2 linked regions of the Saccharomyces cerevisiae S288C genome follow. The main gene of each other region encodes a partner of the protein of the gene in region 2 in a complex. Each region holds a gene or a part of one and is shown on either strand. Other genes may lie near its edges.

Region 1 (4,902 bases), on a different chromosome or scaffold from region 2:
ATATTAAAACGTATAAATAGGACGGTGAATTGCGTTCTACTTCCTCAATTGCGTTTGATCTTATTTAATCTCTCTCTAATATATAGAAAAAAAAACCATCTGATTATTCGATAATCTCAAACAAACAACTCAAAACAAAAAAAACTAAATACAACAATGTCTGACGCAGGTAGAAAAGGATTCGGTGAAAAAGCTTCTGAAGCTTTGAAGCCAGACTCTCAAAAGTCATACGCTGAACAAGGTAAGGAATACATCACTGACAAGGCCGACAAGGTCGCTGGTAAGGTTCAACCAGAAGACAACAAGGGTGTCTTCCAAGGTGTCCACGACTCTGCCGAAAAAGGCAAGGATAACGCTGAAGGTCAAGGTGAATCTTTGGCAGACCAAGCTAGAGATTACATGGGAGCCGCCAAGTCCAAGTTGAACGATGCCGTCGAATATGTTTCCGGTCGTGTCCACGGTGAAGAAGACCCAACCAAGAAGTAAATCTTTCGGAACTCTTTGTAGTTACATGGTTTTTTCTTTATGATGTGTGATGTTCCTTAATATTATATTCAATGAATAGCAGAGTAATAAAAAAATTCTAAAAAAAAAACGCTTAAATCGAGGTGGAATATATAAACTTAAGTACGCATATACTCTAGTTCAGTTTAAAAATTAGCTGTTTTTTTAAAAAAAAAAATTCTCTTTCTTTACAAAATGTTCTTAAATGTATGTATGTGTGTGTGTGTGTGTGTGCGTATTGTTCTATTTCACTCCAGCTTAAACATGGCGGTTGCTTCTTCGTCATCAATTTCCGCGCGTTCGATTTTATTTAAAAGTACTTTCTTTGAAGCGCCGAGATTTTTCATGAAATCCGTCTCAAATCCAAGCAAATTATCTTTGAATTTCTTTCTCTTTTTACCGCGAATCCCAAGCACTGACGCTACGGGGATGTCTTCAAATTCATTGAATATCTTGATTAACCCAATATCGCGTCTTTTCAACCTGTTTGGCACCTGGGATTTTTTCAAATCGGCGAGAAACTCCTCTTGTGTCTTACCATTTTCTGACACATGCTTGTTCAGATCTAGCGATATTAGCTTGTCGACCTTGTTTACCGTAGCCGAACTATTGTATTTTTTCAATGGTGTTAGATTTAAATCGTTTTTGTCAATGATAGCAGCGGAGGTGATTTCTTCTTCTGTTTCTGTTGGTGCTGCTGGCGTTACTTTGGGCAGTTGTGGTGTGACTTTTTTCCTGTTCAATGTCATGGGTGAAGAAGATTCCAGTATGGGCGTAGGCGTCAAAAGTGATCTAGTCTCCTCTACAGTCTCCTCGCTCTTGTCATCTTCCCCTTCACCGTCCTCTTCACTCTTGTCACCACCGATACTGGGCTTTTTCACCTCTGTAACATTGGTACGCTCGCGCTTCCTACCCTCCTCCATCTTACTCATGAATTCTCTTCTCTTGATGCGTTGGTTGGCTCCGAACTCTAATTCATCTTCAGGATCCGTGTCGTAACTGCGTTCCGTACACCTTAAAATGAACTTTCCAGCAGGTGCACCATCTTCCAATCCATTGAAAAATCTTACTGATTCTTCGACCTCCTCCTGGCTTAAGTTTGTCTCCAAATGAATATATAGCAGCCAAATCAATATGTTTGATCTATCCTTTGGCTCGTATTTCGAATAGTCCAGTATATCAAATAATGTTGTTGCATAAGCTGCTTTTGATTCTTGTTTTTCATTTTCCGCTTCCGTTTCTTTTACTTCATTCTGTTCATCTACCATATCTTGCTCCTGAGCTTTCGATTCGACTTCCACATACTTGGAAAGAAACCTCTTGTCAATTAGGCCGGAATTATCACATATGCTAAACAACATATTAATAATGTTAAATTTGTTAACGGTGTCCACTTCACCATCATTTTGGTCGACCTTTTTGTAAGTCTCCATCAATGAGAGTTGCTCATTGCCCCACGGCAGATTTTTCAGAATAGATTTCAGTCTAGGTGTATCCTGCAAAAGTTTCGGATCATTGGCATGTAATTGTAAAACTGGCACGGAGTGAAAAGTTCTCAATTGCGATGTCATTTCTAAATAAAAATTTATAGTGGTGTTCAACCTACCAATGTTGACCAATAACGCTAAAACACAAGTAGAAAATGCTACTTGTTGGTCTAATAATAGTTTATCTCTGAGAATTTTGGAACATTTGATAGAAGTGGCTATTGTCAACACATACAATTGTGCGAACGTCAATTTATCGTTAAATACAAATGTCCTTGCATCGTACTCTTTGTCGGTCACGTTGATTGATAATTTATCGCCATCGATATTAATGGGTACAATAGAGTTCTTGTATAGGGGTTTTAGAACATTAGTGAAGATTTGCCTCTTGTCCATCAACAGTTCTTGCATGAAACTGAACTGAATGTCCTTTCTATTGAATGGCTCGCCGTCAGGTTTCTTCAAATGACGATTGTATTTACTGGCATTGCTTTCTTTGGGTTTCCTTCTAACAGTGTTAGTTGTCACTGGCCCCGTTGCCGTACTTGCTCCTGTTGCTTCAGGCACTGTAGAAGGTTCGAAGTTGAGCAAGATGTTGGTATTTTCTTCTTCACTTTGCGTGGAGTCATCATCATTTTTATCGTCGATTTCAATCTCGTGTATAACTGGAATGCTTTTTGTAGTCACAGTCTCGGTCTCTGATTGAATGGAGCTTGGGGATGCTTCTTCTTGTGATCCCGATTTTACAGATTGCATTGGAGAATCTGCTTTTGTTTCGTCAGAATTGTCTTCTCGTAGTTGGAAAGTATCATGAATTGGATCGTATACTCTCTTCCCCATCTTTAATTAGAGTGTCGCCTTTATTTAGCTTTCGATTTTACTTAGTTAATCATGAACTGTTTCCAATACCATATCAGCATTCATTGGGCGTTCTTTACTTACTTGTACCGTTACCGCATTCGAGGGTAACCTGTTTTTCGTTGTACACGATATGCTACAGAATTGTCTTAATATGGGCTAAGAAAAAAAAAAGTCTGATTATTTCTGATACTGCAAAATATATACTGGCTTGGTTAAGAAAAGTGTTGCTTTAGTTCCTTTACATCAAGAGTCGTTAAATTGTTTTGTGTCATAACAGTAGTGGTCTTTTGAGACATCAATCGACTCTCAGGTTTTCCTTCTGTTCATCTTCTTGTTTTCGGTAAAGGTCAGCCAGCATATTTCAATTCTCTCTTTTTTGAAATAACATTATGTAATCTTTCAATCCTTTCTATCCAACGTCTGCTAAATAATTTATTCAAATGACATGTAGACCAGAAAATCGAACGTTGGATAATTTTTCATCCTGAATCATGTTGGTCTCAACTAGAGCAATTTTTTCACGTCCTCTGACACAAAACTCGATAAACTGTCGCATCAGTTTAAAAAAATATGTACGTGTATAATAACTGAATTTAAAAGGATAGTAAATAATTTTTGCATTTTATGGAATGTCAAAATACTAATAAGTCGCAAATATAGCTATCAAATACCATAATTTAGCTACTTATAGAAAGATGCCCAAATCCCGACCAAAAAGGACCATTGCGTCTTCCTCGTCAGTTTTTTATGGAAGTTCACCTTTCCAAAATGATGGCTACATCAAAGTAATGGAACTCGTATCACACATTGTCATTGAAATAAATCATTCACCTACCGCAACAACGGATGAAACGAGAAAGCAGAATAATCCGGAGCTGAAAGTGAAAGAACCAGTTTGTAACCTCAAGAAGTGGGAAAATAACACTAACTTTATATTGGAAGATCATACGAAGAATAAAACAAAACTTTCTAGCACAGATAGGATACGTAAGTGGTTTAGAAGACATATATTAAAGGAAGAGATCGAAATCCTTTCCCATGGAAAACAATTGAGTAGTATTGATGAGGATTATTGCCCTTCAAATGTTCTTGTAGGATGTTCAAGAGATCTAAATAAACTCAGATCATTTCAAAATTTTTAGGAATATAAAATTTCTCAGTAAGAAAAAGAAGATGAATGCGTTTATAGTATTTTAAGTTGTTCAATAGAATATCTTCAATATGTTCATATGTGGACTAAAAGAAGATTTTGGTATATGTCTATAAATTTATTGTTGGTAAACGCCATTAAGCAGCTTTCCAAGAATATGTTATCATTGAGGAGAAGTACGAAAACTGATTATGCACGATTAGGAAAAATTCTGCAAGGAGTATTAAAAAATGGCCTTCGAGAAGAAATGAAATCTCTTTCGATGAGCAATGGTCTTATGGATAATTTGATAGACATATGAAAAAGTCAAAAGTTTTTTTGGCCATATGCAGTAAAAACTTACCCTTCAAATTGCAAAACCATTAGTTTTATTATATTTTTTTTTTTTTCTTTCATTGAAGTATACACGAAATCCCATACGCAAATAAACAGTCGTTGTATCATCAATTTCGGCTGTCTGGATGGCGACTACGAGAGGAAGCTTGCTTGCCATGATAGGACCAATCTCAATTTTTAATTTTTCATTAACTAGCTAATTTTCTATAATGCTCTAAGTTTCCTTTTTCGTTTTGTTTCTTTATAGTGATGATGCTGTTATTGTGACGCTATCAAATCATATACTGTCATCAATCCTCATCTCATCGGCTCCGGAACGCGTTGAATATGTTGTTAAACAAGCTCTTTATAGCTAGCTATAGTAGAAAAGGAAGGAAAGAAGTCTAATCGCTGTATTATCGACTGACAAGGGTTGTCAGTTGCCTTCTTTTATTTTTTGTACTCCCCTGAATCGAGCGGATGTATTTTTTAACAAAGTATTCAGAATTGTTTTTGTATAATCAAAATTTGTCGACGCTAAGAAAATGACGGACGTCGTAATTCCGCTACTAGGTTTTGTGTGCT
Region 2 (3,041 bases):
TCGAATCTTTGGATGGTCTGTTCGCAATTGAACAATTAAAAGAGAAGGGTAAAAAAAATAATGAATGTGAGGTTGTTCTACGCATGGAAGTTGCTACAAAAGGGGTGGCAACTGATGGAAAGACTTTTTACACAAAGATTGACAGCATTACTGACAAATTTCTAATGAACCAGACGCGCCGCTTCTTTTAGTGTCGTTTGGTAACCGCTTTTTCTTAAGCTGGCAGAGACCGCCAAAAATAAGAGAGTCGCTTGTAGTGGGACAAATAATGAACAGAGAGGCTTTTTGATACCAGTATCGTTGAGTTGGGAATGAAATGAAATATAACGATGCAATCGTCGCCATTCCTGTCAGAATATAATCGACGGTCATGTTATATAATTGTTTTATAAACGCCCACTTCTTGGCTGTATCTTTTATAATGTCCTTTTTTCCTGAAGAGGGTTTCCATCTAATTTTCTTTTACAGTCTGTAGCCTTACTTCTGGCCCTTTAACTAAATACATTTGATTTATATTGCATATTTACTCATACAATTGTATATTTGTTGTTCTTTTTTGGTCGGCTACCAGATTTAGTACTTAATGTAACCAATTTGTGAATTTCATAAATGACGTGCCAAACTAGAAAGTGTGGGGCCCTGAGAACAACTTTAAGCTGTTGACATTACCTTATGAGTCCAGTCCATCCTCTCCTTCTTTTTCAAGTTGTTTTACTTCAGGATCCTCATCTGCTGGTTCTTTTTTCCTTGTAGCTTTGTCATCTGATCCTTTAACGTCAGATGCAGTAAACTCGCTTCCCCTTTGACGTTCTTCTCTTACGTCTCTTCTTATCCAGCCGGTGAAATTTACCTTATAACCACTGAAGCTCTTGATCTCTATGGCTTTATTCTTGTAATCCCACGGAAGTACAGGTTTGCTATTATCTCTCGAATTGGCAGAGGGAGGGCTTGTATCCTCTATTTTAGGGTTATTGGCTAGTTGTTCTTGCGATTCTGATAAAACACTACTTTCTTGGGACATACCACAATTACTCGAGAAATTGGATTTATCTTCCGGCCAATATAAGTAAAGAATGTGTTGGCATTATAGTACATTTTGTTGATATCTTTAAAATTACTTGGATTATGAGAATGATTACCCGTCAACTGCTTGGTAAAGTTTTAACGTTCAAGAAAAGCTCTAGACGGCGTAACGCACCTTTTGTTATGAGCGTTAGAAAAATTAGTGACTAAGAGGATGAGATGATAAAATGCATATGATGTTGAATATGGAAAATAAAATGTTATATTCTTACTCAACGTAACCTGCCATTTGTAGGAGTTAAAAATTATGTAGTAGACTTAAATCTCTCCTTATTGTCCTAAATACTTGTAATTACATACACATATATATGTATAAATATTCGGGAAATTTTACAACTGTTGAGATTTCATAAAGATGATAATTTCAGATACAAAGTGTTTCTATATGCCGAAATTTCCGCTTCTAATGTTATCATATAGCTTCTTTCTCTCCTGTCTTTTGTTAATATTTCCATGCAGTTTGTTTCCCTGAGGAGCTTCTGGTAGGTAAAATTCACTATTTACAGCCCCCATAGGCTGAGCGGGTACGGAATAGGCATTCTGCTGCATGCCTTGGGGAAAACTACGCCTGTTAGCACCAGCTGTGTAACGTATCGGCTCCTGAGCTGGTACCATATGGGACATCATTGGAGGTGCTCGCATAGGTGGAGGTCCATTGTAGTATTCCGCAGGTACGACAGGTTGAGCTTGCGGTGAATACCTATTAACGTGCTGCTGTGGATATTGATTGGGGCGAACTCCCTTTGGTACCATTTGCGGCGGATTATTGCTCCACTTTCCATCTAACATATGAGCATTGCCTGCCCGGCTGTTCCCATAAGCATTTGTTGTGTTATTATGATACGGCGGCTGAGTTACCTTGTAAGTATTTACAGGGTGCTGGTGGTTAGGGTTCATTCGTTCCATTTGTTGATATAATGGAACGTTAGATGGAAGATTGGGCACACCTTGTTTTACTGGCACCATATGTTGGGGAATAGGTGAAGCATCTGCCCGTTGATTTCTGGACTTTAGTTCTGGGGGCACAATATTGTTTTGGAAGGGACGTTGTTTTTGTTGGTGAGATGGATAATTATGCTGGTCCCGATATGTCATATGTGGTTGATTTGCTAAAACGTGAGCAGGATCATTATACCCAACGGGTACATTAATCGTGTTCTGCTTGAATCCAGCCGAATTGGTGGAGAATTGTGGAGACCTCGCAGGTGAATATGCAGAAGGTGGAACTGGTGCACTTGCAGGCGACATTTCATTTCTACGATCGTTCTGATAGTATTTTTGCTGAACAGGAGATACACAGTCTCCAGGCGCATTTTTATATGGTTTTGGTGTTACCTGTTGAGATGGACTGACTGCACCTTGTAAGACGTTCAGGCGAGACTCATTCGTAAATGCCTTTTTCGAATCCGAATTTGAATAAGTGGGTTGACTAGGCATTCTTGATGCCGGCAAGTTGTTGATATTTGGAGAATAATATGATGATGAATCGTCGTTGACTTTGGATTCCTCAGAAATCTTTCTAGGTTCCGCTAATTTCCTATCAGCGGTGTATTTGGAACTATCAGCGCAAGAATCATTTGTATTTGTACTTAGCTTCAATGAGTGAACGGCGCTTGAATGGCTGCTTTGTAAGTCATCGTCAGTTATATTGGATGGCTTATATTGATCAAACTTTGTCAATGATTCGAAAGTCTCTGCCTCAGTTATGGAGATTTTTACATCGTCTGGCTCATTAATCATCATTTCTTCAACCATACCGTTTAATTCTTCAATAGCTGAGTCGGTAGCTCTTTTCTGGGAATTTTTAAGTTTGTCACTGTCGTCATCATCGTGTTCGTACATTAATTCCGGTATTTCAATCTTAAAGTTTGATGAACCGGTCTCTATTACTGGTAACTGATATTCATCAGGATTAAGTGTGCTAAACTGAGATAGTACTCGCTCTTCTTTTTTCGATT

What was found. Proteins that work in one complex are often made in the same cells at the same time.
Region 1: IES4 (region 2) and IES1 share a complex: the UniProt entries of both Saccharomyces cerevisiae proteins name them as parts of the chromatin-remodeling INO80 complex.

The regions. Positions count from the first base shown.
Region 1 is NC_001138.5:107,100-112,001, forward strand, and holds IES1 (Ies1p), read right to left. Parts: upstream 2,832-4,902; coding exon 753-2,831; downstream 1-752. Other genes in the region: lipid-binding protein HSP12, read left to right, coding at 157-486; YFL012W (uncharacterized protein), read left to right, coding at 3,548-3,994. UniProt on the Saccharomyces cerevisiae protein: Probably involved in transcription regulation via its interaction with the INO80 complex, a chromatin-remodeling complex.
Region 2 is NC_001147.6:687,604-690,644, reverse strand, and holds IES4 (Ies4p), read right to left. Parts: upstream 1,022-3,041; coding exon 671-1,021; downstream 1-670. Other genes in the region: MSB1 (Msb1p), read right to left, coding at 1,465-3,041.